7 linked regions of the Oryctolagus cuniculus genome follow. The protein of the gene in region 1 purifies or fractionates together with the protein of each later gene. This does not show direct contact. Links are inferred from orthologs where the notes say so. Each region holds a gene or a part of one and is shown on either strand. Other genes may lie near its edges.

Region 1 (4,276 bases):
GGGCGATGCCGGAAGAAGAATCGGGAACTCCTCTCCTCTCCAGGCCGCCAGCACTGTGGGGTTCTGCGTGCTACACACCCCGCGCGGTGCCGCTCCAGAGACAGCTGAGCCGGGGGAAATGTGAAAACCAAAAGAGGCTGCTCAGGGCCCCTCCCCAGGATGGAGACCAACGCCAGCCGCCGGCGAGGGCCCCCCTCCCGGCACTCAGCTCCCACCGCCTGCCTCTGGAGACCAACGCGACGGAGGACAGAGGCTCAGCCGTGCCGGGCCCCGCCAGCCTGCGCGGCCTCTTCCCTGGGATGCCAGGCTGGGAACACACGGTCCACACTAGGAACACGTCCTCTGTTTTCAGAGGCTAGCAAGTGTGTAGGAGTGAAAGGGGTTTCCACTGCCTTGGACACCCCCCACCTCCAGCACATGGTGACATACACGGCCACCACAGTGCCAGCGCAGGGGGCACACAGCCACGGCCCACACCAGCGCCACTCCACAGGTGTGCGGGCTGCCACACCTTGCCAGCTTGCCCTTCTGAAGAGACTTCTGGATGCGGCAGGCTGAGACTGACAACTGACATTGAATTTCTTAGCGGCCCAAACCCAGCACATACACTTTCCGGAGCCCAGGCATTTGGCAAATAGCCCTAGGGTGCTGGCCCCACCCCGCCCCTGCCTTCCCTCCTTCCAGCTCCAAACACCTGGAAGCACACGAAATGCCAGGTAGGAGCTCAAAGCAGGAGGGCAGGGTCAAGGGCACTCACGCCACACGAGAAGGGGTCGCGACACCTCAAGTCCGACACAGGCACGACCAGCCTGCACAGCCTGTCCTCAGAGGGTCAGCCGTGGGCCCAGCGCCAACGCTGCTGGAGGAAGACGGGTCGTGCCCTGAGGGATGCGGGCCACAGCCCATGTGAGAGGCAGCGGCCTCTGGAGCCGGACTGTACGCAGTGCCACGGCGTGCCCAGCCAGCACAGCGGGGTAGCCGAGGACGGCGCCTCACTGGGCTTCCACTCCACAGGAAGCTCCCGTGTCCGTGAGTCGCCTGGTGACCACCGTGCCACGACTGGACTGGCTGAACCCACCTCTGACAGCACAAAGCCGTCTCAGGCCGCAGAACAAAGTGTCAAAGCCTCCCCTTTTGATGCCCACGGAAGGGTGCTTGATGGGCTGGCTTTTCGGTGTAGATCCCAAATCCTGAGGTTAAAACTTTTGCCAAAAATCCATTGTTCTATAAATAAGCCAACTACTTCCATTTACCCGGCACTCCGGCTCCCGGCACTGCTGAGCGCGCAGCTGGCAGACTACTTAGAATAAATATTTAAAATGCCTCTGAAGCATGTTTTACTCAGCAGGCTATTAAGGGAGAAACTCAGGTTCAGACATCCACGCGGCCTGGAAGCACCCAGGCCCCAGAGGTCCTCACGACCACCTCCGCCCTCGACGGCCGGAGCGCAGGACAGAGGCAGGGCCTGTTCACCCGCCCTTCACAGCAAGTGCACCTGCCGGCCCGGGCTTCGGAGTCACTCAGGAACGGGATTCCACCGCGGAACCAAGCTCCCGGGAAATCCCGCACCGTGCGCCTCCCGACCCGTCACTGGCCTCTGCCGGGGCCCACACCTGGGCACGGACGAGGGCCCACAGGTCCCGGAAATGGCTGCGGGGCGCGTCCCGGCCCAGACAACACTTTCCGCCCTCCTACTGGGGACTAAGGTGTCGTGTGCGCGCGTGTGTGTGCGTGCGCGGGGGGGAGGGGCGGCCCACAGGGCCCGCGGCCGGTCAGTTACCTGCAAGGGGGCCAGCGGAAGCCACCAGGAGCCGTTTCTGACAGGGACCCCCCCACCGCCCCCAGCACGCAGGTCATGCTGACATTTCGCCCACACGTGTGCAGTGCGGGGATGCGGGTGCCCCAGCAGGCGCCAGACCCACCGCAGACGGGGGACAGTGGCCTTTGTTGACGGCGGCGACCTCAGGCCAGCGGAGGACGCTGCCGCCCGGCCCTGCCCCCTGCCTGCTCCAGGCCCTGCCCGCCCCCAGGCCCGGAGACCCCTAGACCCGGCGGCACCCCCTCCCGGAGGCCCCGCGCCCCCGATCCTGCTGTCCAGCCCCCTCCTCACCGGACCTCGTCCCACTGCTCGGTGCCACTGCGCCCCCGGCCCGGCCCATCCCCAGGCGCCGCTGTCCCCTCCCCCTAGGCCTCGCTGACCCCCCCCACGTCCTGCCCACCCCCAGACCCCGCTGTCCGCCGAGCGGCCGATGGTTTCTGGCCACGATCCGGCGGCTCCTGAGCCCTCGCCCCCGCCTTCCGCGGCCGCCCGGCCTCGGACAGCTGCGGGGTGCGGGTCCCCCGCGGGAAGGGGCGGCCGGGGGGAGGGGCGGCGGCGGCTCGCGGGGCCTCACCGAGATAGATGTCTCCGAAGGAGCCGCTGCCGATCTTCCGGCCCAGCCGGTACCTGTTCCCGACTCTCAGCTCCATGGCGGCGGCCCGCTCGCCCCTGCCCTCCCGGCCGCTTCCTGGGTCTGAGCTCCGGAGGCGGCGCCGCTGCTGCCGCTACTGCGGGTCCGGCTCCGGCTCCGCCCCCCTCACGGCCCCGCTTTCACCATAGCTTTCCGGCCGCTCCACCGCTCCCAGCGCCTCAATACGGGGCGGATGGGACAGTTCGAGCGCCGCCGCCCCTGCTCCGGCCCGTGCCGGCCCAGCTCGCCCTCTCCCCGCCGCGGATGGACTCGGATCTTCCGGGCCTAAATCCCCCTTCAGCTGCCTAAAGGAACCGCCGCCATCGTGCTGTGACGTCACTTCCCCTAGCAACCCGGCGGGGCGGGGCCTCGCCGCTCGGTGGGCGGGGCCTCGCCGCTGGGGCGGGGCGAGCGAGCTCCTGCGCACTGCCCGCCCCGCGCCCGCAACGCCGGACCCCGGCCCCTCGCCCCTCGGTCCCCGCCACCCAAGGCCACCCGTCGTCTTGTCGCCAGCGGGCACCACGTGCCGGCGTCCCCTGCCCCGCAGATGCCTCGCGACCGACCTAGGAAAGGACCCGAGCGGGTCGTGTGCAGGAAGGAGACGGGGGTCGGGGGCTCCCGGGGCTGGAGCTGACACCTCCCCCCGCCCCCGCCCCCGCCCCGATCCGGAGGGAGCCCTGTAGGCTGCGAGCGCGGAAACGGCGTGCGGGCCCCCGCAGGAAGGACGCGGGGTGAGGCTGGGCGCTGGCCGGAGTCAGCGTTGGGTCCCAGCTTCGTGGGGTCTGGGCGTCCTTGCGAAGGAGGTCACGGACTCCAAAGTTAAGGCCGAAGGCAGCTCTGGATCCCTGTGCCTGAGCTCTGCCCGCAGAGACGGTGGGGGGCTCTTCCAGGCATCCCGACGGGGTTGGTCCCCTCCAGACACCCCGGGGGGGGGGGCCCAAGAAGGGCGATCTTCTGGGGCTTCCGCGTGCTCCCCAGCCTGCTGAAGGCGAGCACCAGGGCACGCATCCCCAGCCACACTCTGCTCCATCCAGCCTCCTGACCCCCAACGTCTGGAGGTCAGGTTTTGGGGCCCCGGGCACCAGTCAGGCCTGGAACCAGGTTCTCGGGCTCACGGGTCAGAGGTGGATTTTGCACCTCGTGGACACAATGTGCTCCTAGCTCTTCTGCGGGAAGGCGGGGGAGGGGGGCAGGAGGAGCCTGGCGCCCACTCCCTGCAGTTCCTGCCAGCGCCTCGAGGAGCTGCAGGGCTTGGGGCAACCCCTCGGCCTGCTGCTCATTCTCGGAACGGCTCAGGACAAGGGGGTGTCACCGGGACCAGAGCTGGTGCCTGTGGCGCCCAGGAGGGACCCCGGCGGGAGCGGTGCTGCCCAGCTGCCCCAGCACCGGCTGCGGCCCCCGTGTGAGGCATCCCCCAGCCCCAGGAGCGCCCTGCTCCCGCCTTTCTGCCCCTTGTGCTCCGACTCCGCCCCTCTGCCCACTTGAGTGACCTGAGGCCAGACTGGACGTCAGGTTCCCCGGAGCCCCCTGCAGCAGCGAGGCCACTCCAGGCGGCTGCTCCTGCCTGACTGCTGGGACTGGCCCCGGTGGCCTCCAGCCGGCACCTCCAGTAGTTGGCCCACAGAAACACTGGCCCAGGGGGGGCGGGTGACTTGCATGCGAGCTCAGTGGGGTCAGGGTTCAGCCGCCTCCTGCGGTGCTGGCATCCCAGATGGGCGCCAGTTAGAGTCCCCGCTACACCACTTCCGGTCCAGAAAGCAGCAGTGGACGGCCCGAGTGCCTGGGCCCCGGCACCCACGTGGGACACCTGCACAGAGCTCCTGGTT
Region 2 (4,285 bases), about 52 Mb from region 1:
CTGATGGGGCACCCAGCAGGTTTCAACAGTGGATAGAGTGCTGGGTGAGTTCTGGAGGGCCGCCTTCTCCGGACTGCAACATGAAGATTCAGCAGTACAGGAAACCCACGCTGTTTGACAAACCCGTTGGCTCCTAAGAGCTAAGGGTGCTATATGTTAAAAATAGACTTCCAGGGTTGCAGAGATGCAGCTGCTGGCAACACGCATTCCATATCAAAGTGCAGGTTAGAATGCTGCTCCACTTCCGCTTCCGATCCAGCCCGGGAAGGCAGCAAAAGATGGCCCAGCACTTGGGCCCCTGCAGCCACATGGGCGATCTGGCCCAGCTCTAGCCATTGAGGCTCTTTGGGGGGTGGGGGTGTGAACCAGCCGACGGAATCTCCCTCCTTGTTTCACTCTGCAGACCCGCGGACTCGGGCCGTCTTCCGCTGTTTTCCCAGGCCATTAGCAGGGAGCTGCATCCGAAGAGGAGCAGCCAGGACTCGAACCGAGGCCCATATGAGGTGCCAGCGTCACCTTTACTCCCTACGCCACAACGCTGGCCCCTGAAATCTTTATTAAAATTAAAAAATATTTTCTCAGGACTCTCCCCGGAGATTGTTGGGCAGGTGATTCTTGTGATTACGAGGTTTCTCCACGTTTCTCGAGGGCTCACTATACGCCAGGGGTTTGCAGCTTAACTCCTGAGTCCCTTCCGGGTTTAGGTCCCCGCGGTTCTTAGGATTCGCCCTCTTCATGGTGTTAGGGACCCGAGTTCAGACGTTAGGCCCATTACTGACGTGTTAGTCCGGACAGATTATGTAACTTCTCTGGCTCGCACTCCTTTGTGGGGGTGGGGAGGTAGTAACAGAGCTGGCCTCGGAGTCCGCGAGACGAAACGACCAGGAGAGCGCTATCGTCTTCATCGCCCTCATCGTCACGCACGTTGAGATCTGAGGAGGGCCTCCGTCTCATACACCCTCCAGCTTCGGCGGCCTCACGGATGCAAGGCCGGAAGCAAAAGAGTCGTGGGCGCTCTCGTCACGCCCGGGTCTCCGCACAAAACGCCTCCACCTACGCCACCGCCGCTGCATCTGCGCCTGCGTGCAGGGCCCGCTCGCTGCGCCTGCGCACACTCAGCAGTCTGTGCTGTGTGTCGTCAAGGAAAATCCCCAGCTTCTGGGTAAACAAGTTGCCGCGTGAGGCCGCCGGCACGTGTCCCCTACATCTCCGAGACCTCTCAGCCTATGAAAAAGTTTGGAGAGCAGGACTGGCATTTGCGTCACGGCCCTAGGCAGGTCGAGGGTTGTCCCCACAGCCAATAAGAATTTCGGCAGTGGATGGGGGCGTATCTTCCGGCCAGGCTTCCAATCAACGCGCCGGGGTGGCCCCTCCCGCACGTGGAAGGATCACTGCCGGTTGGCACACTGACCAATGAGAAGAGGCCGGCGGCCGGAGGCGCCAATGGAGGCTGTGCGGGGGCCGAGCGGCTGCACGCGGCGCGGGGCATGGGTCGGTGCCTGTGAGCCAATGAGCTCGGGGGGCGTGGCAACCCGGCCAGTGGGCGGGTCGGGAGGAGCCTGTGGAGTCGCTAGGGTCCGTCCCAGTTGTGGAGAAATTTGGGTTTCTGCGTGCGCGCGGAGCGGTGAGTGCCCAGGGGTGGGGAAGAGATGAAGGGCGGTCGATACGGGCTTTTCCGGGTCGTTGTGTTGAGTTGGGGGAGGGACAGAATGGAGGGGAGGAGAGGAAGGAGGCAGCCTGCGAATGCGTGATCCTCGCAGCGAGAGCTCTGATGGCCGTGAGGAAGGGAGACCCAGAAGTCGGGGTAGGGGTGGGAGTTGCTGTCATCACATCCCTGTGCCTCTTAGGATGCCTGGACCCCTGAGTGCCCGGGGAGGGGCTCAAAAGCCCTCCATGATCTGAAAGAGCTGAAGCCCCTGCTCCCAGCGAGACTCCTGAGAGCTGACGGGGGTGTTCCAGTGCATGGCTGGCGTTTGGGGGCGCCTTAAGGACTGGAGGGAGGCAGAGCTCTGAGGCTGGAGACCCTGGCACCTTGGGAGGGTACTGCGGGGTTAGCATGGTGATTTGAGAAAGGGAGGTGCGATGACTTACTCTGGGTGTCTCTCCCAGACCATTCTTGGGAATAGAAGCAGGCCATTAGCAAATGTTGAGTTCTGAGAGGGAGGACAGGGTTGCGGGATGTGCAGTCTGGCTGTGTCCATGTCTTCCAGGGCCCCTGCAGGTGGGGAGGCATTAAGAGGGTGCTCTGGTGCAACCAACCAGGCCTGTTGGAAGTGGGTTCCTAGGAAATCACTGGAGCTTCTGGCTGCTAGAGTGATCCCAAGGACTTTGTGAGCTCGGGGAATGGGCTATTGCGATGAGAAGTGTGTGGGAGTGCACACAGAATGTCTCAAGATTGGGTCCCGGGCAGAGGAGGGGTTGGATGAGTCTGTGTTCCAGGCAGCAGACTTAGAATCTAAGCTGGGTACAAGAGGCCTAGGTTTGCTGGAATGCAGCTTAGAGGCCGGCTGAGACCTCCCAGGTTCCCCAAGGGTAAGACGCCAGAATGAGAAGCCATTGTTAGAGCTCGGATTTGAACTCTGCACTCCATTTGCTAACAGGCTCAGAGTAAGCCGGGAAGCAGACACTTTCGGCCGGTTCAGTGCCTCCTTGGCTTTAGTTGTTCCCACGGAATGGGGATAATAACACCCATCCATCTGGAAATTAAATCAGATAATGTATATAAAGTGCTTAGCACGATGCCTGGGTCATTTAAATAAAATGTAGCTTTAAAAAATTGGCTTTAGGGTGACAAAACAACAGTGGCAGGGTGTGCTGTGCCTGGGAACTGTGCGCGCATTCTCATGTTTTTCTGGAAGTTTTTGATGACTCCCCGTTTCCCTCTTCCTGGTCTGCAGGCACCAGCCCAGATTCCCTCATTCCTCCCTTCCATCCCTCTCCCAGCATCCAGGCCCCAGACTGGGCCACTGCTCTGTCCCAGTTTGATTTCCTCATCCTACACCCATTCTCTCTGCTGCCCCTCCTCCCTCGCTCGGTTTCTGCTGCCATAGGAACCAGAGATTCAGGCTCCGAAGGGGGCCTCCGGGAGGGAGCAAAGGTGCCTGTTCACTCGCAGAACCTGGGCCTCCGAGCTCCCCCGCCCCGGCTGCTGGGCACCGGGCCAGCCGATGTGTACAGTATGGGGAAGGGGGAAAGCCAGCGCCAGAAACTGCCGGGCACAAGCCAAAGGGCTGGCAGACGCCGAGTTCTGGACCGAGAGCCAGGCCTGGGGGCGGCGGCGGGGGACCCCTTCCTCCTAATCCTCTCTCCAGGAATCTCTGGCTTTGGGACAGGACGGCTGTCGTTAGGTTTGGGGGAGGCGCCCAAGCTGAGTGCATGTCCTGGGCCTCCAGCCAAGAGAACACGATGTTCCCAAGTGCGCTGGCCGCCGCCCTGTGGGACTGGCCGCCTCCCAAACCGCTGCCTCTCCAGCCTCTCCAACCTCCCTGCCCCACATTCCCCGGCCGTCTCGCCCCGCCCCCTTCCTCCGCTTTGACGTCACCGCGGGTCCCCGCCCCCGTCTCCAGCACTGACGGCAGCAGCGGGGCCCGGTTACTGTGGGGACCGTGAGGCCGAGCGGCCGGGGGCTGCCGGGGCGCCGGGCCCTTTGTGCAGAAAGAATACGGAGACGGAGGTGGAGATGGGAGCGATCGCACCTAAATCCCCGAGGAGCCCTGGGCGGGGAGGAGAGCCATGTTTCCGAGAAGAGGGGTCTGCGGCGAGACAGGCCCGGGGCCACAGTGTATGAGCGTGGGCCGGCACGCGCGTGTACATTTGTGTGTGTATTGGGGGGGAGGTGTCGCAGGTCATTTTTTAAGAAGTCTGTTTTCTGTCTCCCTGGTTCAGTTTTTCCAGGTTATTTTACAACACCCCACAGGGCCCTCCCCTCTGCCCCGCCCCCCCGCGGGGAACATGATTGTTAAGGAAAGCTTAGACCACGTGACCGTGCTGGGGCTGCACCCACAGCTGATTATGTCAGCAGCTGCGTGGGGGCCTCCACTTGCTGCCCACATGTCCAGGGAGCCCTGGAAGGAAGGGCACCTCACAGCCCTGGTCTGTGCGACCACAGCCTCCTGGACCCAGACTGGCCCTTTGCCCCCCAAATCAGGCCCCCGTTCCCTTCCTAGGACTCCGTGTTCCGCTCCTCCTCTCTCTAGAAATTTCCCGTGGCTTCTTCACCACTGAGGCCCCTCGCCGTCTTTCCTTGCCATCCTTGTTGAAAACAGAATCATCACGTTTACCGACC
Region 3 (3,500 bases), on another chromosome or scaffold:
AGCGCCAGCCCCTGTGTGTGTGTGTGTTGATTACATAAATAATGTTGAAATAAACATGAAATTCATTTGTGTTTTATATATACCTCATACCCATAGCCGAAAAATAGCTTTATACAGTATTTTTAGCATACCTGTGTTGTTATTGCAGCCCCTCACGTGAGATGCAGTGTTGAATTTCATAATTAGGACATCATGTCAGTGCACAAAAAGTTCTGGACTTTGACATTTCCAGTCAGGGCTGCCCAGCCTGTAGCACAGGGACCAGAGAGATCCAGATCTCTGGGAGACACATGGCGTAGGCCTCGGGGGTTGCCATGGTGAAATGGGCAGGTCAGAGCATTTTGAGCAGGGCACTTACAGCTGTGCCCTAAACTTCCAGAAGACCCTTTGTGGAAGGAGACTACAGAGAAACACGGTAGCAGCAAGCAGGGAAACGGGGTAGGAGATTGTGACAGGTGCTCACCCCAGAGCTCCTGGCGGCTTACACTGCAGTGGATGTGTCAGCTGAGGTGGCAAGACGAGGCCAGGTGGTCAGATGCTCGATGTCCTGTCAAGGAAGAGCCCACAGGACTGCCCCAGTGCATCGGAAAGCAGCTGAAAACGGAGGCGTGAAGGATGACTGCAGGATTTGGGGCAAGGCACTGGTAGGGAGTGGTTGCCATTAGCTGCGATGGCAAAGGCTAGATGTGAGTTGAGTGGGGAAAGTCGAGAGTTTGGTCCCAGACACGGGAAGCTGAGATGTCGGTCAGACATCCGAGCGACCACATGGATAGGCAGCTGCGTGTGCAGGAGCTGAGGGCTTCCGCGTTCCAGTGCCCTGTCAAGTCGCGAGACCGGATGCAGTCCCCAGGGAGGTCAGGAGCGAGGGGAGGGGAAACGGTAAGGGGCTGAGCCTTGGTCCTGCCGGTTCAAGGGGTCTAGTGCAAAAGAAGGGTCTTATTCACTTGAACACCTGCGGGTGAGTGGCCAGAGGGGAGGAGGCTCTGAGAGAGGACGGAAGTGTTGGCAGGAGCAGGGAGTTCCCGTCGTAGTCAAATACGTGTGACTCTACTGACCTGGACCAGAGCTGTTTTGTTAGATGGGAAGCAAAAGCCTGCTTGGAGCAAGCTTGAGACAGAACGAGGAGAGAAACAGGAGACTGAGTGTGGATGTTCATGTGTGAAGAGGACCTGCAGGACGAGTGGAGAGACCTGAGGGGCATCTGAGGGAGAAAGAGCAGGCCTGGCGGGCTGTGAGCAATCAAGGAGGCCGTCTAGAGGGGGCGGGACCTGCTCAGCACTGTCCTGGAGCAGGAAGAGCAGGGTGGCTCAGCGTGCGGGGAGGGGGCGGCCGAGGCAGGGGGTGGCCGAGGCAGGCGCTCCGCAGGCCTGGGCTCGGCTCGGGCGCTGGCAGTGGGCAGCGGCGCTGGGAGTGCGTGCAGCATTTTCTTTGGTTTGCTTCACTTCTTCACTTGAAGGCGTCTTCGTTCTTTTCTTCTTTCTGCGCGGTGATTATCGCAATAGAGAATGTGTGCACAGTGACTCAAGGGACTTGGGAGTACAAATCTGGTGTTGATAAGGGAGACACCTACAGAGCCGACAAGAGCTTGTAATCGTCCCATAGTGAACTTTCCCCAGGAGCGTCCGGCTCTGTCCAAACACCTGAGTTCTCACTGTGTCTGGTAGACCCTGATGCCCCATCAGGAGGTGTTGAGTGAGGCACCATCGTCAATGGAAGGGAGGAAGGGAGGAGAGCCGGGGCCACTAAGGTTCTTTCCGCTTCTGCTCTAGGACCCTGGAGAAGATCGTTACGTTTAAAACGTTCGTCACGCAGCTGAGCCTGGCCGTGTTTGATGACCTCAGCCACCACAGAGCGTCCGCGGAACTTCTGAGGCTCACGCTGGACAACGTCTTGGTGCACGCGGGCCCTGGGGCCAGTGCGCTGCCCGGGGAGGAGCCCGCCGCTGCCCTCTTCCAGCTGCACTGTATAGAGGTCTACTGTGGGGACCTGCAGGTGGACAACCAGCTCTACAACAAGTCCAACTTCCACTTTGCGGTCTTGGTCTGCCAGGGAGAAAAGCCAGAGCCCACCCAGTGTTCCAAAACGCAGAGTCTCCTCGCGTCCGGCACCGACCTGGAGGAGTACAAGGAAAACTGCTTTATCAAGCTTTACGTCACCTTAACCGATGGCAAGAGCTCTTGGCTTGATATTAACGAGTTCACCTTTGAACTGAAGCCCGCCCGGCTGTACGTGGAAGACACGTTTGTGTACTACATCAAAACCTTGTTCGACTCGTACCTTCCCAGCTGCAAGCCGGGGGCGCCCTGCGGGGCTCAGCAGGAGCTGCCCGCACAGGTGACCCAGCACGCCAGGGCCCTGGTGAACCCTGTGAAGCTCCGCAGGCTGCTGATCCAGCCGGTGAGTCTGCTCGTCAGCATCCACGCCTCCCTCAAGCTGTACATCGCCTCCGACCACACGCCTCTCGCCTTCTCCATGTTTGAGCGAGGCCCAGTCTTCACCACCGCACGGCAGCTCGTGCACGCCCTGGCCATGCACTACGCCGCCGGGGCCCTTTTCCGAGCAGGTAAGGACACCAGCTGAGGGCCTATGGTGCTCTCGGGCCAGGCAAAGATGACACACCTTGGGTTTGCCTTCACTGTCTCGAGTTACAAGGATGCAGTCGGTGGGAGGTGACACAGGGGGCTTTATCATGAAACAGAACAGGATTCAGATCTAGACTCTGCCGCATTAGATGTAAGATTTGGGGCAAGGTATTGAACCTGGCCAAGCCTCAGTTTCCTCATCTGTAAAATGGGTGTAAGAGTTTTCAGGAGGGAGGAGCATAGAGAGAGACACTGGCTTTGGAACATCACAAAGATCCCATCCCTCATTCGTCAGAGAAGTGGTTTGGTGAAGATGGAAAAAGTTCTGGGGTGGAACGAGTCAGCCAAGTGAGTTCACTCACGTCTTTCCCGTGAAGTTGTAAGGTTTCATTTCCTCTCTTCGGAAGCAAAGCACTACAGAGGTGGGAGATTGAGGGGGTGGGGGGGACAGAAAAAGAAAGAGAGTTTTGAGGGGATCAGATGAAAGTATGTCAAGTACGCAGCATTTGGCTTGGCTGTTGGTGAACACGCCGCTAAGAACAGCTGTGATATTAGCTGTTCCCTAACTCGGGCCTTCAGTTCAGTCTAGGAAATGCTTGCTTAGCCCCTTGCTAAAGGGCACTGAGGCCCTTTCTTAGCATCCTAGCACAGCCAGAGAGCCTAGCGCCGGCCCTTCGTTCCCCAGGCCTAAAAGAACTCCAGTTGTAGCTGGGTGGGTTTCTTCCTCGCTGCTCATGAATAGCCGGAGGTGAGGAATTCCGAGGATTTGTGTGCTCCTAAGGTGCACAAAGAGCCCTCTACCTACCGACCCGCTGTGGCACTGCCCGGCCAGCCAGGCGGCAGAGGGACGGCTGTTGGCATCTCGGCCTCTCCAGAGAGCTGAGACCGCAGGGGAAGAAGGGCCCTTGTGCCAGGCAG
Region 4 (3,500 bases), on another chromosome or scaffold:
GCCCACGACAGAGCCCTGGGCTGCCGGCACTGAAGAGAGAGATGGAGGGGGAGGGGCTCAGGGAAGACTAAGAGCAGCCCATGAGCTGTGAGGTCACCAAGGCCCAGGGAATCCCCGGAGGAGAGACAGGAGCCGGCCATGGTGCTGTGCTGCTGGGAGAACAGGATGCGTGTGGGGTACGTGGCGTGGAAGATGGGAGGGACAGCGTGGCCGAGTGGAGAAGCCAGGAGCCAGCAGGTGGGCTGGAACGTGGAGGCGGGGGTGAGGGAAGTAGAGAGAGGTGGGTTTTGAAGGAGCACAGTGGGCCCAGGTGGGGAGGCCCAGCCGCACTGCTGTGTCCTTTGCTTTGTATATTTGAGCGAGAAGAGTGTTCTTGGAGTGGAAACTGGAGAGAGAGAGAGAGGAGAGAGGGAGGTTGAACAGACAAGGGGAGAGAGGGGAGGACTCCGAGCCAGGTCATGGGAGGGGAGGAGAAGGGTGGGCGTGGATGCAGGTGGGGGTTCAGTGACTGCAGGTGGCTACCTGGTGGCTCGTGTTGCCTTCTCGTCTGCTGAGGGGTGGAGCTGGGAAGTGTGCAGTGGAGGCCTGGGCGGGGCAAGCAGTCTGTCACCGGGTGCCAGGAACCGAAGGATGGGCGTAGGGGTTGCGCAGGAGGACACTTGCACAGGTAGCAGGGAGAGCCTGGTCAGGACTCGGAAGCCCGCCCTCCCCGGCCCCCAGGTGAGTCGCAGAACCTTTGAGCCTCGGTGCTCGTTTTCCAAAGGAGGCAACGACAAGGCTCCCTCGCGGGGCCGTGCAGATCTGACGGAGAGTGCGTGACGGCAGCCGCGGCCTCGGGCGGCGTGGGGCAGGGCAGTCTCAGGAGGCCCTGGTGACCAGAGACGGGCCTTGTTTCTGTAGAGGAGAAGCCTTTCCTTTCCTCTGATGGTTGGAGTCCACTCAGTCTTTTTCCAGTTCTTGGCTGTCTCATTTCGCTTCATCTCAGGGGAGGGGAAATGCTGTTATTTAATAGAGAAACAGCTGAGGGACAAAGTTTACACTCATCCGCAGCTTCACTGGCGAAGTCAGGGCCAGAACGCAGATCCACAGCTTCCGAGGAGTGGCGTGAGCACGGCGTGCAAGCCCTGGCCCCGTGGCTCTCCGTTCCTCCGTAGCACCCAGCTCTTTGCTTTGTCACCTTCCCCTTCCACAGGCGTGGGTTGCCAACTATGAGAGACCCCGGATGAACGCCAACTCCCTGCTGGCCAGCCCCACCGGCCTCAGCCCCTACCTGCGCTTCGGTTGCCTGTCCTGCCGCCTCTTCTACTACCGCCTGTGGGACCTGTATAAGAAGGTGAGAGCAGTGCGGCCTGTGTGCCTTCCCCGCTTGCAGCCAAGTGGCCCTGGGCCTCCTGCGTTTGCCAGTCACCCTGGAAAAGGTCCCCATCCTGTCCCTGGAGGTGGGGGCCTGTGTCATACATCCCATAGTCCAGAGTGGGTGGGGAAGGGTCAGTGCGCAAGGGCTGGCAGAGCCACGCGCCCAGTGAATCACTGATCTGCATCCATCCCCTGTGGTCCTGTGGGGCAGAGGAGGCCGCGGGGGGCCCAGAGGTAGCAGGTCCACTGGCTGGGGGTGGATGTGCACCAGAGCCCCAGCGCGGGACGATGGGCAGGTGAGGCTGGAGCCAGTCCTGCACTGAGCACAGCTGCCCTCTGGGGCTGCCCCCAGAGCACTGAAGGGACTGTCCAGGGGCTGCACCTGCCCATGAGCGCTGGGAGAAAGGCTCGAGGCAGGGGGAGAGAGTTCATGGGGGCCCGGCCATGGGGACCAGCAGCCCACAGGCATCCCTGGAAGGAGAAGGGACAGGTATCCAGTCCCCAGTCAGCGGCTCTTCCTTGGGGCTGCGTTTCTGACGTTTCCCTGTCCTTGCCAAGGTCATGAATTCAGGCCACTGGTAGCTTGGCAACTGGGGGGGGGGGGTAATCTTACGGTTTTAGGAAAATCATTATTTGCTTAGAGATCTGATCCCTTTTGTAAACAAATTATTATTTTATTATCGATTGATAGATTTGAGAGTCACAGGCAGACACAGAGCCCCCATCCCCTGGTTCACTCCCCAGAAGACCACAACGGCTGAGGCCGGGCCGGGCCAGAGCCCAGAGCCAGGAACTCAGTCCAGGTCTCCCAGGTTGGGGGGCAGGGACCCAACCCCTGGAGCCGCCACCTGCCACCCACTGGGGCGTGCGTTAGCGAGAAGCCGCGGTTGGGAGTGGAGCTGGGACTTGAACCCTGGCACTAATATGGAAGGCAGCCATCGCAAGTGGCATCTTACCTGCTGCACCTCTCGTTCCTGGAACTCCTGGAGGCTGGTCTCTTAACTCCTCCATGGACCCAGCCTGCGTGTGCAGCCTGTTTACCCCATGTCTGGACCGAGCATTTTATGCACTCTGATCAGAGAACTCCCCTTGACTATCTAGAAAGTGCAGCCAACCACCGTGGCCAGTCTTGGCAGGCTTGATTCCTGCCCACCCTGCCTGGCTTTCTGCAACCACTCTGGTTTTTTTGTTTTTTTTTTTTTAAATATCATTTTTTAGACTTACTAACTTCTCCCTGTAATGATTCCCCTTACATTCCCTACACATCTTTTTTAAAAGTTTTTTTCTTTTTTAAAATGATTTTATTTGAAAGGCAGAGCGAGAGAGAGAGAGGGAGACACGGAGATCTGCCATCCACTGGTTCACTCCCTAAATGGCTGCAGCAGGCCAGAGCCGGGAGCCGGGAGCCAGGAGCTCGTCCAAGTCTCCCGTGTGGATGGCAGGGGCCCAAGCACTCAGGCCATCTGCTGCTGCCTGCCAGGGCCGGGGCTGAGTCTGCAGGTGCGCTGCGCCGTTTCTTCCAGAGGACAGGCCCTCCGCCTGTCTAGGAGGTTTGGAGTCTGTAGGGACCTGAGCGGCCTGGCGCAGCGAGCCGGGCAAGCGTTCACGTGTCCGTGCCGCCCCCGCCCTCAGGTGAAGCGGAACAGCACCCCTCCCCTGTCCCTGTTTGGGCAACTCCTGTGGCGTGAGTTCTTCTACACGGCAGCCACCAACAACCCCAGGTTCGACCGCATGGAGGGGAACCCCATCTGCATCCAGATCCCCTGGGACCGCAACCCCGAGGCCCTGGCCAAGTGGGCTGAGGGCAAGACGGGCTTCCCCTGGATCGACGCCATCATGACCCAGCTCAGGCAGGAGGGCTGGATCCACCACCTGGCGCGGCACGCCGTGGCCTGCTTCCTCACGCGCGGCGACCTGTGGGTCAGCTGGGAGAGCGGGGTCCGGGTGAGTGCCCGCTCCCTCTGCCGAGCCCAGCTGTGGGCTGCCCTCTCCGGGCGGGGGGATGGCGTGGGAGCCTTCCGTGGCTGGCCCTGGGCCCCTGGGGGAGAACCGTGGCCGCGGATCCCCGAGGAGTCTGCTCGTCCCCGCCCCCGCCCAGGTGTTCGACGAGCTGCTTCTGGACGCCGACTTCAGCGTGAACGCGG
Region 5 (4,012 bases), on another chromosome or scaffold:
CGGTTCTCTCGGGGGCTGCACGGGTTCCCTTAGATGTTCCCCATAGATGTTCCTGGTGCATGCCGTCTCTCTCCTCCTTTATAGTCCTCCTCCGCCAATCCCAACTCGGCTGCCCACATGCCGAGTACGCTGCTCTCCTCCAATCAGTAGCAAGTCCTACAGTTTATTGGTTGAACTGGAGGCAGCTGTGCGGAAGCTGTTTACTTCTCTCCCAGCGCCATATTGTGGGAGAGCAGATGCATAGAATAAGTCTTAATTCCAGTAACTCAGTCTAGTCCGGTTTGCTCCCCACACATATCTGTGATCACAAACAATGCATTAGGATACCAAAGGAAACTTGCACTGAAAACGCAGTGTTATGTCGCCTTTTAATGTGGTAATCTTGTAAATGGCCAAAACTCTATTGCAGAGGTCTGACCTTTATTTATTTGATAATTTCTGAATTCAAAAGAAACAGTACTCACAACCATTTAAGTACCTGTATGTGTAGATAGCCTTGTTGAGAAAATGTGGTGTATGCGATTGTATTTCCAATGTTTTCTAAAGTTTAGAGAAAATATTTGCTAAATATTTTTGAGAAGGAATTATGGTGAGTCCCTATTTCACTTAAATCCAGTCATTTTGGTAAAAACGGATTTCATATTTTAGAGCTCCCAGTAGCAAAACTGTGTTTAGTCTTCCTAAAGCAAGATAGCCTCCCTGAAGAAAACCAACCAAGTTATTAAGCAAATAGTTTTTAAAAATTCTAAACGTGTTAAGGAAATATTATGAGATGACTAGTGATGCACTCCATTTACTTAATTTGAAACATCAGCTGGCCCACAGTCTAAGGGCAGTACATCAGGCCTGAGGATTACTATTTTATTCTATTCTACACAAACATGTAGAAAACACTTCCAGAAACGCAGCCTATAAATAATATTGCAATAGTCCATTTAAGTATTTGAAAGTTAGCAAACCGAGAATGGTGCCCAGAGCCACAATGGTCGGTATGGGTTGGCTACCAAGTGGATTATCACACTGAGGACACAAACTCCAGGTCGCGAGAGTCACGCGGCCTGAACTGGGGTCCTAGGCTCTGATCTAGGGGAGCCTTCACCTGGGGGCAGGTGCGGGAAGGCGGTAGGGGTGGCGGGACGGGGCTTGGGCGGGGCAGGTGAGACGGGGCGGGGCAGAAGCTGGGCGGGGCGTTGGAGGGGCGTGTCCCCTTCGGTCAGCGACACGCGCTCTCGGTCGCAGCAACTCCCTGCAAGTTCCCTCCCTCGCTCTCCGGCGGAGCCTGCCGGAGCCCTCCCACTCGGTGCAGACCGAACCATCGCGGCCACCGCCAGCAGCTGGGCCCTGCGCGGCCGCGCGTCCTGGGCCGGCTTGGCCAACCCTCCCTGCTCCTTGCCCGCAGCCCCACGGCGGCGTTGGCGGCGGTGAGGACTCGGCGGCCCCAGCAGCCCGCCCTCGGCCCTCGGTCCTTCTCGGGCCCAGACCGTCCCTCCTCGCCGTCTCTGGAAGCCTGACCGCCGGCTTGGCCCGCGCCGCCCCGAGCCAGGGAGCACGGCCGAGGTAAGACTGGGGGTCAGAGTGCTGCTGCAGGTTCGGGGTCCGGGTCTGGTGGCCGCGCTGCGCTCCGTCAGTGGACAATGCCTAAGCCGCGCGCGGGCGGAGCGAAGCCGGATCTGCTCCTGCAGCCTCCCCGCCCTGCCCTCATCTCCGTCTAGCCCGGCATGGGGGCTTCGCTGGCCCTGACGGACCGGGCCGGGGTTCCGGGGAGGCGGGGGCGCCCTGCCCGCCCTGAGCTCCGGGCCGGGCGAAGCCGACTGCGCTGCGTAGCCGGGCTGGGCCCCGGAGGCGCGCCGGCGGGTGTCTGTGGAGGAGTGGGTCGGCGAGGCACCGGGGCTCTCCTCCGCCACCGCTGCTTGCCCCATCTCTGATTTCCGTGCCAAATACTTTGGAAATACCAGTATCTCCTCATCCCTGGCTGGGAGTGAACTGCAAGGTATGCAGATTCCATGGCTCTGAAAGTTTGTTTGGGGTTATCCCCTCCAGTGGCTCCCTCGCTTGTACTTTCTTTGAAAGCATACAGATTTGAAATATAATTAAATTACCCTTGGCTCACGCTTATCCCCATCCCCCGGCGGAGCTCACAATTTGGCAACAAAGCGCATGCCAGCTGTGGGAGCCCGGTGGCTGCCCTGCCCGGCCTGGTGCCCTCCTATTGTCGTGAGATCCGGAGCTGCACTGTGTAAATGGCAGTGACAAGTCTCCTAAGCTGGCTTGAGGAGAAGATAACTTGATGCGTGCTTAAATTACTCTGGACAGTGGAAAGAAAGCACCTGGTGCTGGGCTAGTTAACCCTTTCAAGACGTGACTCGGATTTGCTAAGACACTCGCACACAAACATGAGGCTTTCTTTGCTGCCTAAGATACCGATAAACTCTGCGGGTTTTCTTCACAGCCAAGTTATGTCCCGTGCAGAATCTGGCACACATCTGTGACAACATCGCATGGCTGGCGTTGTAAGGACTGCACACTGGTTTATTTTTGAAGAGGAGAGTATGATTGTAGAACAAGCATTTTTGCAATATGTTTAGAGTCATTCCCTGGAATAGAACCTCTACCAATTTATTGTCCTCATTTTTTGCCATTGCAACTTGTGGTCATTCAGATGTGCTCTTTCATAAGTATAGTTATTTTAACATAAGGGCAGGTTCATGGTAACCTGGAATTCTTCAGTGGTAAAATCTCATGGCTTTGTGCTATGATAGTTGACCTGTGGTATTTCTGGAGGTGGTACACCATGAAGTCACTGACTGAACGGAGAGACGGCAGTGCTCTGCCAATCTGATAATCAATAAAATGCTTAGAGCAGGACCCAACATATAGCCTGAAGTAAGTGTCAGTTAGCATTGTTTTGAATTGTATTATATATAAGTCCATGTGTTTTTTGGTTTGGAAATTGATGGTTTTGGGTTTTTTTTGTTACAGGTCTTTTGGCTCAAGTCTGGTTTAATTTTGGGATGGAATCAGGGGTGGGTGGTGGTTTTACTTGTGCCTGGCAAGCTGCTCTCTATGTTGGTAGGTAAGGGCTGATTTAGAACTTCTCACGTAGTGGCCTGCAAGGACCATAGCTATGAACCCACCCCTGTCCTGGTGCACTTTATAATTAGGAGACCTCAGAATCCTTCACGGGCCTGATTGTCCAAGGAGAGGCCCAGATGTTAGGGAAAATCTAGGGTCTGAGGGTCTGAATCTTGTCCCTGAACTGTGCCCCCCTCTCCCCTACTCTAGGTTGAGAGTAATGATTCCTAGTTGAAAGAACATGTTGGCACAGCAGCGTTAAGTGGGTCCCATTGTGGTAAAAGGTAATTACAGATCGATAGATCTGCTAAAAATACATCAACCAGAGCCTATCAGTCTTATCCATGGTTTATAGTATTTAGAACAGGATTTGTAGTCTAACTGGCCAGGAAAAGAAAAATCAAAATGGTGTGTTTGCTGCCTGTTGGTAAGCAGTGGGTGCTAACTGTTTAGCGATTTTGAAAGACCATCAGGGATCAACTCTCACTTCAAGCTCCTCTCCTCGCTAAACGGTGAAGTGACATCTTTTTCCTTCCTCCATAACTTCCTAGCTAAACAAGGCATGGTGTTAACTGCTGGGGCCTGAGGAACCACAGCTGCTGCAGGCGCCGTGAGGTGGCAGTAGGTGGTGCTGTGGATAATGCTGGTGGACCAGCAGGGATTACTGTAGCAGTCCGGTTGCCTGTGCCTCTCCAGAACCTATTCTTACCACGCAGATTTTTCAGGAATACAGGTTTTGTGCTTTTTGAAAAGTTTTCCCTTTGTATTTTTAACTGTTTTTTTTAGGGTAGTTACCTGGCTGGGCTTTTCCTCTTTGAAAACCATGGTATTGCAGTTAGACAGACAAGCCTTGCAGAAATATTATTTAGGCAACTGTATCCTTGACTTTGATTTTTCTGTATTTGAGTCAGGTTGGTCACTTCCACTTGGAGGACCCCCA
Region 6 (3,500 bases), on another chromosome or scaffold:
TTTAATTTTTATTGATGATTGAAGAATTCCTTGAGCTTGGTTGTAATATGTTTTTCACATGTCCACATGTGTTAAAGTTTTTGTTATAGGGGCCAGCATTGTGATGGGTTAAGCCACTGGTGGCAATGCAGGCATCCAATATGGGTCCTGGTTTGAGTCTTAGCTGCTCCACTTCTGATCCAGTTTCCTGCTAATGTGCCTGGGAAAGCATCAGAGAATGGCTCAAATGCTTGGGCTCCTATATTAAAGTAGGAGACTAGGAAGAAGCTCCTGGCTGCTGGCTTTGGCCTGGCCCAGCCCTAGCCATTGTGGCCATTCAGGGAGTGAACCAGTGGATGAAAGACCTCTTTGTTTCTTTCTCTCCCTATCTGTAACTCTGCCTTTGAAAGGAATAAAATAAATCTTAAAAAAATGTTTTTGTTATTGTTTTTAGGCTACTATAGCTGCTTGATTTTTTCACTCATAAGTCGTTAGTACTCTTCATCTTAAAGGTTATGGTATTTGCATAGTGTATACTTTTGACATCTTGCAGATATCTACAAAATGAAGAAAATGTGTTTTAGACTCATTAACTATTTGAATACATTTCCTGGTCATGTAAGAAATTGTCATTCTATTAGAACTCTTATGTGATTAATTATTTTCTGATTTTAAGCCTTTTTTAGAGCTCATCACACCAATGTATCTTATATTAACTGCTCTTTATTAACTCTTATAACAGGATCATAGAACTCAATGGTGGACAACCGCCTCTCACTTATAAAAGATTTCAGACTCTCATCAGCAAGATGGAACCTCTAGAGATCCCAGTGGAGACAATTACTTCAGAGGTGATAGAAAAGTGCACAACTCCTGTGTCTGATGACCATGATGAGAAATATGGAGTCCCTTCCCTGGAAGAGCTAGGTGGGTGTGAACTGTAATAAATGTGGAACTTAACAGTTTGTAAGTCATAAATGACTCATAAAATTTTACCTCTGATTTTTCCACATGAAGTATTAATACATTAAAAGGGAAACGGTGAGGGGGGAAAGAAAGAAGAAGAAAACTGCTAAACTAAGAAATGATAATTCTGTAGTTATTTATGTGCTCTCTCTATATCTGTTGCTATCACCTTAAGATGTACATCCTAAAGAACAGAGACTATGTCATAGCATCTCTCCAGGCCCTCAATTCGCTCATGCTGTTCTCATAATTTTTCTGCAAAATAATTGTTTTCACAACTGTGATTAAATAAAAAACGTTTTAGTTCCAGAAAATTGATTATTTGTTTTTTTGTAGGTTTTGATACAGATGGCTTATCTTCTGCAGTGTGGCCTGGTGGAGAAACTGAAGCACTTACACGTTTGGAAAGGCATTTGGAAAGAAAAGTATGACAATTTAGATCATCTAGCCATGTTTTATTTCCAAGCTGGCATTTTAAAAATAATTTCATTCTCTTTTAAAAACAAAAAGTAGAATGTTGAAAAAGAAGAGTTCAGGGAAATAAAGTTACACAAACCTAAGTATTTGAAAATTAACTACCTCATTTAAATGCCCTTTCTCCTGCTTTTCTGATTATTTTTCTTGGTTATTTCCTATCTTTCTACTTAACCTGGTTTCCGATGACCATAATTTTGGAATTAGAATAGAATCCTCTGTTAACCTCAGTGGGCAGTGGAAGGTAATCTCAGGCATGTGTTGGGAGTTTGAAGGTTATGTGTTTCACATGAGTCTGTGCTGCATGATAATTGAAATGAAAGAATGCTTACTTTTCTTTCATGTTTAATAAACATATGTAACTTGTGGCTTGGATAATAAATTATTCCCAGAGAACTGGGAAACTTTTATTAAAAAAAAAATCTGTTTTGAATACTGTGTTTAAGTGGGAAAGACAATGTGATTCTTTCTGTGTTTTCAGGCTTGGGTGGCAAACTTTGAAAGACCTCGAATGAATGCTAATTCCTTGCTTGCAAGCCCCACTGGGCTCAGTCCTTATTTGCGATTTGGCTGTTTGTCATGTAGACTATTCTACTTCAAACTGACAGATCTCTACAAAAAGGTACTTTTTAAAATCAGTGCTTACCTTTCAAAATACATTTTTAAAACTTGCTGATAATACTTCTTTGCCTTTTAATCATAGGTAAAGAAGAACAGTTCCCCTCCTCTTTCTCTTTATGGGCAGCTATTGTGGCGTGAGTTTTTCTATACAGCAGCAACAAATAATCCACGCTTTGATAAAATGGAGGGAAACCCCATCTGTGTTCAGATTCCTTGGGATAAGAATCCTGAGGCATTAGCCAAATGGGCTGAAGGTCAAACAGGCTTTCCGTGGATTGATGCCATCATGACACAGCTTCGTCAGGAAGGGTGGATTCACCATTTAGCCAGACACGCAGTTGCTTGCTTCCTGACACGAGGTGACCTCTGGATCAGTTGGGAAGAAGGCATGAAGGTAAGTGTTCTAAGAACTGTAGCCAGGTCTTTGAAGGAACTCCAGATGTTGTATATTGTACAGATTCATTTATAATCTAGTGTTTCAGTGAATAAAACTTTTAATCACCACAGTATAGGCATACTTTTGGACAGCAGGATGGTATAATCAGACAGGAGAAATGCTGAAAACTGGCTAAGACAATAGACCTAAACTCATTTAAATGTTTAAAGCAGGCTGTGATTTAAGAGAACTGTAAGATTTAGCATTCTGGAGTTATCGTGTAGATATATTTATATGTATTCATTTCTGTCACAAAAAAGATTTGCCTAAGAATTCTCAGAAATAGTGAATTTATATTATAAATCTTAGAATGTAAATCATTTCACCTTACTTCAACATTGTAACTTTTTAGTAATATTTCTGTTATGTAAAGTGAAACATACTATGTTTTATGATATCATATTGTGGTTTTATGTAACAGGATTTACAAATATGTTCTCCCTTTCTGACATTATTATAAATTTTCCCTATCTAAGGACCAATTTTGAGCCTTTTTTTACATCTCCTTTATTTCCTTGTACAAAATTGTATATAAAGATGTGTAGCAAAAACTTAGTCAATTTATAATCATTTATTTAACTCTATTTTTTGAATCAAGAAATTTAAAACTTAAATTGTGTAATATTAGTACATTTTTAAAGTACATTTGTATTTAAGTGTGCTCCCTTTATCTAGGCCACTATGCCAAGCTTCTAAGTTTTTGTTGGTGATTTATTTGGTAGTGGTTTTGCTTTTTTGAAAGTGGTTTACTGTTTTTTCTCTGTTAATATCCTATCTTTTAAACCAGTGACTCTAGTAATTTTTTTACCCTTCCCCCAGTAACACTGCAAGGATTGGAAAAGTAAATTCTCTAATCTATATTACCAATATTTTTCTTTCCCTGCTATTCCTCATTATAGAACAAACAAGGAAGCTAACTGGAATGTTTTGATTTTACAGTTTTGTGCTAATTTTCTTTGCCTTGACTTTTGATCTACAGTGACCTCAAAAATGCTTGCTTTGAGAATTATGTGTGTGCAAACTA
Region 7 (4,216 bases), on another chromosome or scaffold:
ACATGCCTGAGTACGTGTGTGGCACATATGCACACATGCCTGAGTACAGGTGGGGCACATGCCATACACCTGCGTATATGCGTGGCACACCGTGTCCTTGGCCAGGGCAGCCCCTCCTGCCAGCTGGCCCTCCTGGCGGCTGTGTCCTCACCTGCAGCGGCCGGGGGGCTCTCGCCGGGCACAGGCGCCCTCACTTGCTGACTCGTATTCCTGGGCGGCTGATGCCTCTCTCCGGGCTGCCCTGGGGAGGGGCGAGACAGTCAGGGTGGCCGGGCTGGGAGACCCCCCGCCTGACGACCTCAGGAATCATTTATGGGGCCCCACCGCGTCCTCCTGCAGGCCCTCGGGTGAGGGAGACAGCGGGCGTGCTGCAGCCCCAGGCAGGGGACCCTGCTGGTCAGCCTCACCCACACCCTGCCCCCTGCCCAGCACCTGTGCCACCCCCACCCCAGGTGCCTCCTGCTTCCGTGTGTCCAACTCAGTGCTGTCCTGGGAGGCGTCTGTCCACCTTCTCCTGAGGCCTCTGGGGCAAGGTCTGGGCAGGAGGGGGTGTGCGCCGGGCAGGGCTGGACCAGGCGAACCCGTCCAGCCAGTGTGGCAGAGCTGGCGGCTGGGCAGGACCCTGGGCGTCGCTGTGAGTCAGCACCCAGCCCCGGGCTGGGGAAACGCTCGGGAGGGGGCCTTTGGAGTCTGCCTTCCAGACAGGAAGCCTGGGGGGGGCTGGCCTTGCACCCCCCAGCCCCGGGACCCCCACCCAGGATGGTCGTGGGAGGCCCCTTGCCTGGCCCCCAGCCTCCAGCCGTCTGGCATGGCGCAGGAAAGCAGGCTGGGGGCCCTGTCTCCGCTTCCGGCACTGCCGCCAGGCCCTCGCCACAGGCCACCACGCTGGGGCCAGGGCCTTCCTCTCAAGTCCCCCACAAGCTCGAGCCCTGTGGGGCTCCTTGGAGTGTCCACCTGGGCTTGGTCCACACAGGGCTCGGGGCAAGCCAGGCTGGAGCCGCCCATGGCCAGCGGATGGGCTAGGCTGTGGCCAGGGAGAGTCTGAGTGTCCGTGGTCCGTGGGACTAGGACACAGTTTGAGTTTCCCGCGACCAGGGGTGGGGCAGGGGAGCCGGTGGGGCGGGGTGGGGGCCTCGGCGCCGCCCAGGGCAGGCCCGGGCACGGCGTGGCTGCGCACCACCGTCTGGCTGCGAGAGCCGCCTCCACTCTGTCTCCCTCCCAGGCTGGCCTGTGAGGCCTGTGGCCCGAGAACCCCCGGGCCCTGTGTCAGCACGTTAGTCAGCCTTCTCGGCGGGTGAGCCACCGCGCCGCCGAGTCCCCATAAACTTGCTGGCGTGGCCCGGCCCTGCCGAGTGGGGCCCGTGAGGGCCACAGGCAGAGCCAGGGCCCAGAGCCGCCGGGCTGCGGGCACGACCGAGGGGCAAGGCGGGCGCACGGGGACTACAGGAGCCTGGCACGGGAGCCAGCAGCCCTCTGGGGCCTTCCGCAGGTGCCCGCTGAGCTGGCCGACGGAGGCGCGCGGCCGCCGAGCCGGGGCCCTGGGAGCGGACACCTGGCGGAAGGGCCATGTCTGGCAAACGAGGCCGGGCTCGCAAACCCCGAGCCAGGAGGGCGGGCAGGGCCCAGCGGGCGGCAGGGCGGCAGGGCACAGAGGCCGAGCTCCCGCCCCCTGCCACAGAGGGCCCTCAGGGTGAGACGGGGCTGGCCCCTCCAGGGCACGTGACCAGCATCCAGCTGGCTCCCCAAGGATACCCCAGGGCAGCCGGGCCAGAGCAGCCCCAGGCAGCCGTGAGGCCAGAGCAGGCCGCCGCCCTGGGGTCCGAGTGGGTGCCAGTCCCGGCTGAGCAGATGGAGGGCTGTGGAGCGGGGGGCCCCTTGCCGTCCCTGGGCCCCGAGCTGCTGCGGCTCCACGAGGTCCAGCTGTGCCTGGCCCAGGAGCAGCTGCTGCTGGAGGAGAGGCGGCGGCAGGTGCAGCTGCAGAGCCAGCTGTGGCAGGAGGAGCAGCTGTGGCTGCAGCAGCTGCAGGAGGAGCAGGCCTGGGTGCACATGGAGGGGCTGCAGCTGGCCGTGGCCCTGGAGCAGCTGCGCAGTGCCGGCCTGGAGGTGCTGCAGACCCAGAGCCAGGTAAGGCCTGGCGGGCAGGGGCGCGGGGGGGCTCCGGCGGGGGGCGCCCACGGCTTGTTCACACGCTTGGCAAGGGAGGCTGTGCCCGTCGCAAGGCAGCGCAGACCAAAGCTTGGTGGGTGGAAGACGCCGAGCCGGGGAGCGCGGTGCCCCTGCTGAGGACCCGGCTGTGGGGGGCCGGGGGAGGGGGCAGGGCAGGCCGGTCGGAGGCTGTGAGTGCTTCCTGGTCCGCCCGCCCTGCCTGTTTATTGCTGCTCACATGCCCAGGGCTTGGGGTGGCGGAAGCAGCACGCGGCACCTGCACTCATTACCTCATTCCAGGAGGGGCGGCCTCAGACGCCGCTGGGGCTATTTTGGGGAGCTGGGACCTAACCCTGCCCGAGGTGAGGCGCAGTCGCCACCAGACCCTGGGACTCTGGGAGCTCTCTAGGGGCAGGGCTCAAGCCAGGCCCCTGCACGAGGGCTGCGTCTGGGGAGAGCCCAGGGCAGGCCCGAGCGGCAGAGGCCGGGAGCCGCCGCCTGGACAATGCATACGACAAAGCTGGGCTCCTCCGAGCACTGCCCAGGCCCACCCCACCTCGGGGGCTGTCACAGTCAACCCAACTCGGACACCCACTGAGGCCACGTTCCGGGAAGGGGCTCCAGACAAGGTGCCGTGGGGAGATGTCCAGGGGTCTCCCAGGCCAGTGCCTGGTGGCTGTGCCCTGGAGGTCAGAGGCCACACTCACCAGCAGTGGCTCTCGGCTCCGGCCCAGGCAGGAGTGTCCGCCATGTCCCTGGCGCAGCCACGGCCCCTCCCTTCTTACCGTTCATTCTCCTGGAGTGGGAAGGGAAGGCCAGGGAGGGGGTGCTCAGCGTGGCCGAGGTCGGGGCAGGGGGACAGGCCCCCCCATGGCTTCCCAGGGGTGCCCAGCAGCTGGGCAAGGCCTTGGGTAACAGCTCGTCCCCCTCAGCCCCAGAGTTCGCTCCCACACTCTGGGCTTAGCCCACCCCGCTGGCTTCCGGGGTCTGCTGCCCAGTACAGGTCACCCTCTCCAGACCACAGGGGCCACGAGGGCACCAGGCTGACCCAACCCTGGCCCCAGCTCCACGCCCAGCTCCCCCACCACCCCTCGCACCCTGGCCCCAGCTCCACGTCCCCGTTCTCCCCACAGACCCCTCCTACCCTGACCCCAGCTCTCCCCCCAGACCCCTCCTACCCTGACCACAGCTCTCCCCTCCCAGACCCCTCCTACCCTGACCCCAGCTCTCCCCCCAGACCCCTCCTACCCTGGCCCCAACTCTCCCCACCCAGACCCCTCCTACCCTGACACCAGCTCTCCCCCCAGACCCCTCCTACACTGGCCCCAGCTCTCCCCCCCAGACCCCTCCTACCCTGGCCCCAGCTCTCCCCCCAGACTCCTCCTACCCTGGCCCCAGCTCTCCCCCCAGACCCCTCCTACCCTGACCCCAGCTCTCCCCCCCAGACCCCTCCTAACCTGACCCCAGCTCTCCCCCCAGACCCCTCCTACCCTGGCCCCAACTCTCCCCACCTAGACCCCTCCTACCCTGACCCAAGCTCTCCCCCCAGACCCCTCCTACCCTGGCCCCAGCTCTCCCCCCAGACCCCTCCTACCCTGGCCCCAGCTCTCCCCCCAGACCCCTCCTACCCTGGCCCCAACTCTCCCCACCCAGACCCCTCCTACCCTGACACCAGCTCTCCCCCCAGACCCCTCCTACCCTGGCCCCAGCTCTCCCCCCCAGACCCCTCCTACCCTGGCCCCAGCTCTCCCCCCAGACCCCTCCTACCCTGGCCCCAGCTCTCCCCTCCCAGACCCCTCCTACCCTGACCCCAGCTCTCCCCCCCAGACCCCTCCTAACCTGACCCCAGCTCTCCCCCCAGACCCCTCCTACCCTGGCCCCAACTCTCCCCACCTAGACCCCTCCTACCCTGACCCAAGCTCTCCCCCCAGACCCCTCCTACCCTGGCCCCAGCTCTCCCCCCAGACCCCTCCTACCCTGGCCCCAGCTCTCCCCCCAGACCCCTCCTACCCTGGCCCCAACTCTCCCCACCCAGACCCCTCCTACCCTGACACCAGCTCTCCCCCCAGAC

What was found.
Region 2: the proteins of CSNK1D (region 1) and PER1 purify together in Homo sapiens (affinity purification with mass spectrometry; 4 studies listed by BioGRID and IntAct, counting the BioPlex papers as one, with this or other methods). This does not show direct contact. The link is inferred for Oryctolagus cuniculus from reciprocal best matches to the Homo sapiens genes CSNK1D and PER1.
Region 3: the proteins of CSNK1D (region 1) and VPS13B purify together in Homo sapiens (affinity purification with mass spectrometry; 3 studies listed by BioGRID and IntAct, counting the BioPlex papers as one, with this or other methods). This does not show direct contact. The link is inferred for Oryctolagus cuniculus from reciprocal best matches to the Homo sapiens genes CSNK1D and VPS13B.
Region 4: the proteins of CSNK1D (region 1) and CRY2 purify together in Homo sapiens (affinity purification with mass spectrometry; 3 studies listed by BioGRID and IntAct, counting the BioPlex papers as one, with this or other methods). This does not show direct contact. The link is inferred for Oryctolagus cuniculus from reciprocal best matches to the Homo sapiens genes CSNK1D and CRY2.
Region 5: the proteins of CSNK1D (region 1) and FAM110B purify together in Homo sapiens (affinity purification with mass spectrometry; 3 studies listed by BioGRID and IntAct, counting the BioPlex papers as one, with this or other methods). This does not show direct contact. The link is inferred for Oryctolagus cuniculus from reciprocal best matches to the Homo sapiens genes CSNK1D and FAM110B.
Region 6: the proteins of CSNK1D (region 1) and CRY1 purify together in Homo sapiens (affinity purification with mass spectrometry; 3 studies listed by BioGRID and IntAct, counting the BioPlex papers as one, with this or other methods). This does not show direct contact. The link is inferred for Oryctolagus cuniculus from reciprocal best matches to the Homo sapiens genes CSNK1D and CRY1.
Region 7: the proteins of CSNK1D (region 1) and FAM83H purify together in Homo sapiens (co-immunoprecipitation; 5 studies listed by BioGRID and IntAct, counting the BioPlex papers as one, with this or other methods). This does not show direct contact. The link is inferred for Oryctolagus cuniculus from reciprocal best matches to the Homo sapiens genes CSNK1D and FAM83H.

The regions. Positions count from the first base shown.
Region 1 is NC_091448.1:745,859-750,134, reverse strand, and holds the start of CSNK1D (casein kinase I), read right to left. Parts: upstream 2,801-4,276; 5' UTR 2,470-2,800; coding exon 2,394-2,469; intron 1,919-2,393; exon of another isoform or gene 1,781-1,918; intron 1-1,780. UniProt on the Homo sapiens protein: Essential serine/threonine-protein kinase that regulates diverse cellular growth and survival processes including Wnt signaling, DNA repair and circadian rhythms. It can phosphorylate a large number of proteins.
Region 2 is NC_091448.1:52,646,310-52,650,594, reverse strand, and holds the start of PER1 (period circadian protein homolog 1), read left to right. Parts: upstream 1-1,485; 5' UTR 1,486-1,624; intron 1,625-1,847; exon of another isoform or gene 1,848-4,285. UniProt on the Homo sapiens protein: Transcriptional repressor which forms a core component of the circadian clock.
Region 3 is NC_091437.1:125,326,540-125,330,039, forward strand, and holds part of VPS13B (intermembrane lipid transfer protein VPS13B), read left to right. Parts: intron 1-1,769; coding exon 1,770-2,563; intron 2,564-3,500. UniProt on the Homo sapiens protein: Mediates the transfer of lipids between membranes at organelle contact sites. Binds phosphatidylinositol 3-phosphate. Functions as a tethering factor in the slow endocytic recycling pathway, to assist traffic between early and recycling endosomes.
Region 4 is NC_091432.1:20,094,738-20,098,237, reverse strand, and holds part of CRY2 (cryptochrome-2), read left to right. Parts: intron 1-97; exon of another isoform or gene 98-140; intron 141-1,192; coding exon 1,193-1,333; intron 1,334-2,988; coding exon 2,989-3,300; intron 3,301-3,454; coding exon 3,455-3,500. UniProt on the Homo sapiens protein: Transcriptional repressor which forms a core component of the circadian clock.
Region 5 is NC_091437.1:83,119,174-83,123,185, forward strand, and holds the start of FAM110B (protein FAM110B), read left to right. Parts: upstream 1-1,212; 5' UTR 1,213-1,557; intron 1,558-4,012. UniProt on the Homo sapiens protein: May be involved in tumor progression.
Region 6 is NC_091442.1:109,558,288-109,561,787, reverse strand, and holds part of CRY1 (cryptochrome-1), read left to right. Parts: intron 1-721; coding exon 722-906; intron 907-1,281; coding exon 1,282-1,370; intron 1,371-1,900; coding exon 1,901-2,041; intron 2,042-2,122; coding exon 2,123-2,434; intron 2,435-3,500.
Region 7 is NC_091437.1:167,629,806-167,634,021, reverse strand, and holds the start of FAM83H (protein FAM83H), read left to right. Parts: upstream 1-1,416; 5' UTR 1,417-1,566; coding exon 1,567-2,124; intron 2,125-2,852; coding exon of another isoform or gene 2,853-2,937; exon of another isoform or gene 2,938-2,941; intron 2,942-4,216. Other genes in the region: IQANK1 (IQ motif and ankyrin repeat domain-containing protein 1), read right to left, coding at 152-241, 2,853-2,937. UniProt on the Homo sapiens protein: May play a major role in the structural organization and calcification of developing enamel. May play a role in keratin cytoskeleton disassembly by recruiting CSNK1A1 to keratin filaments. Thereby, it may regulate epithelial cell migration.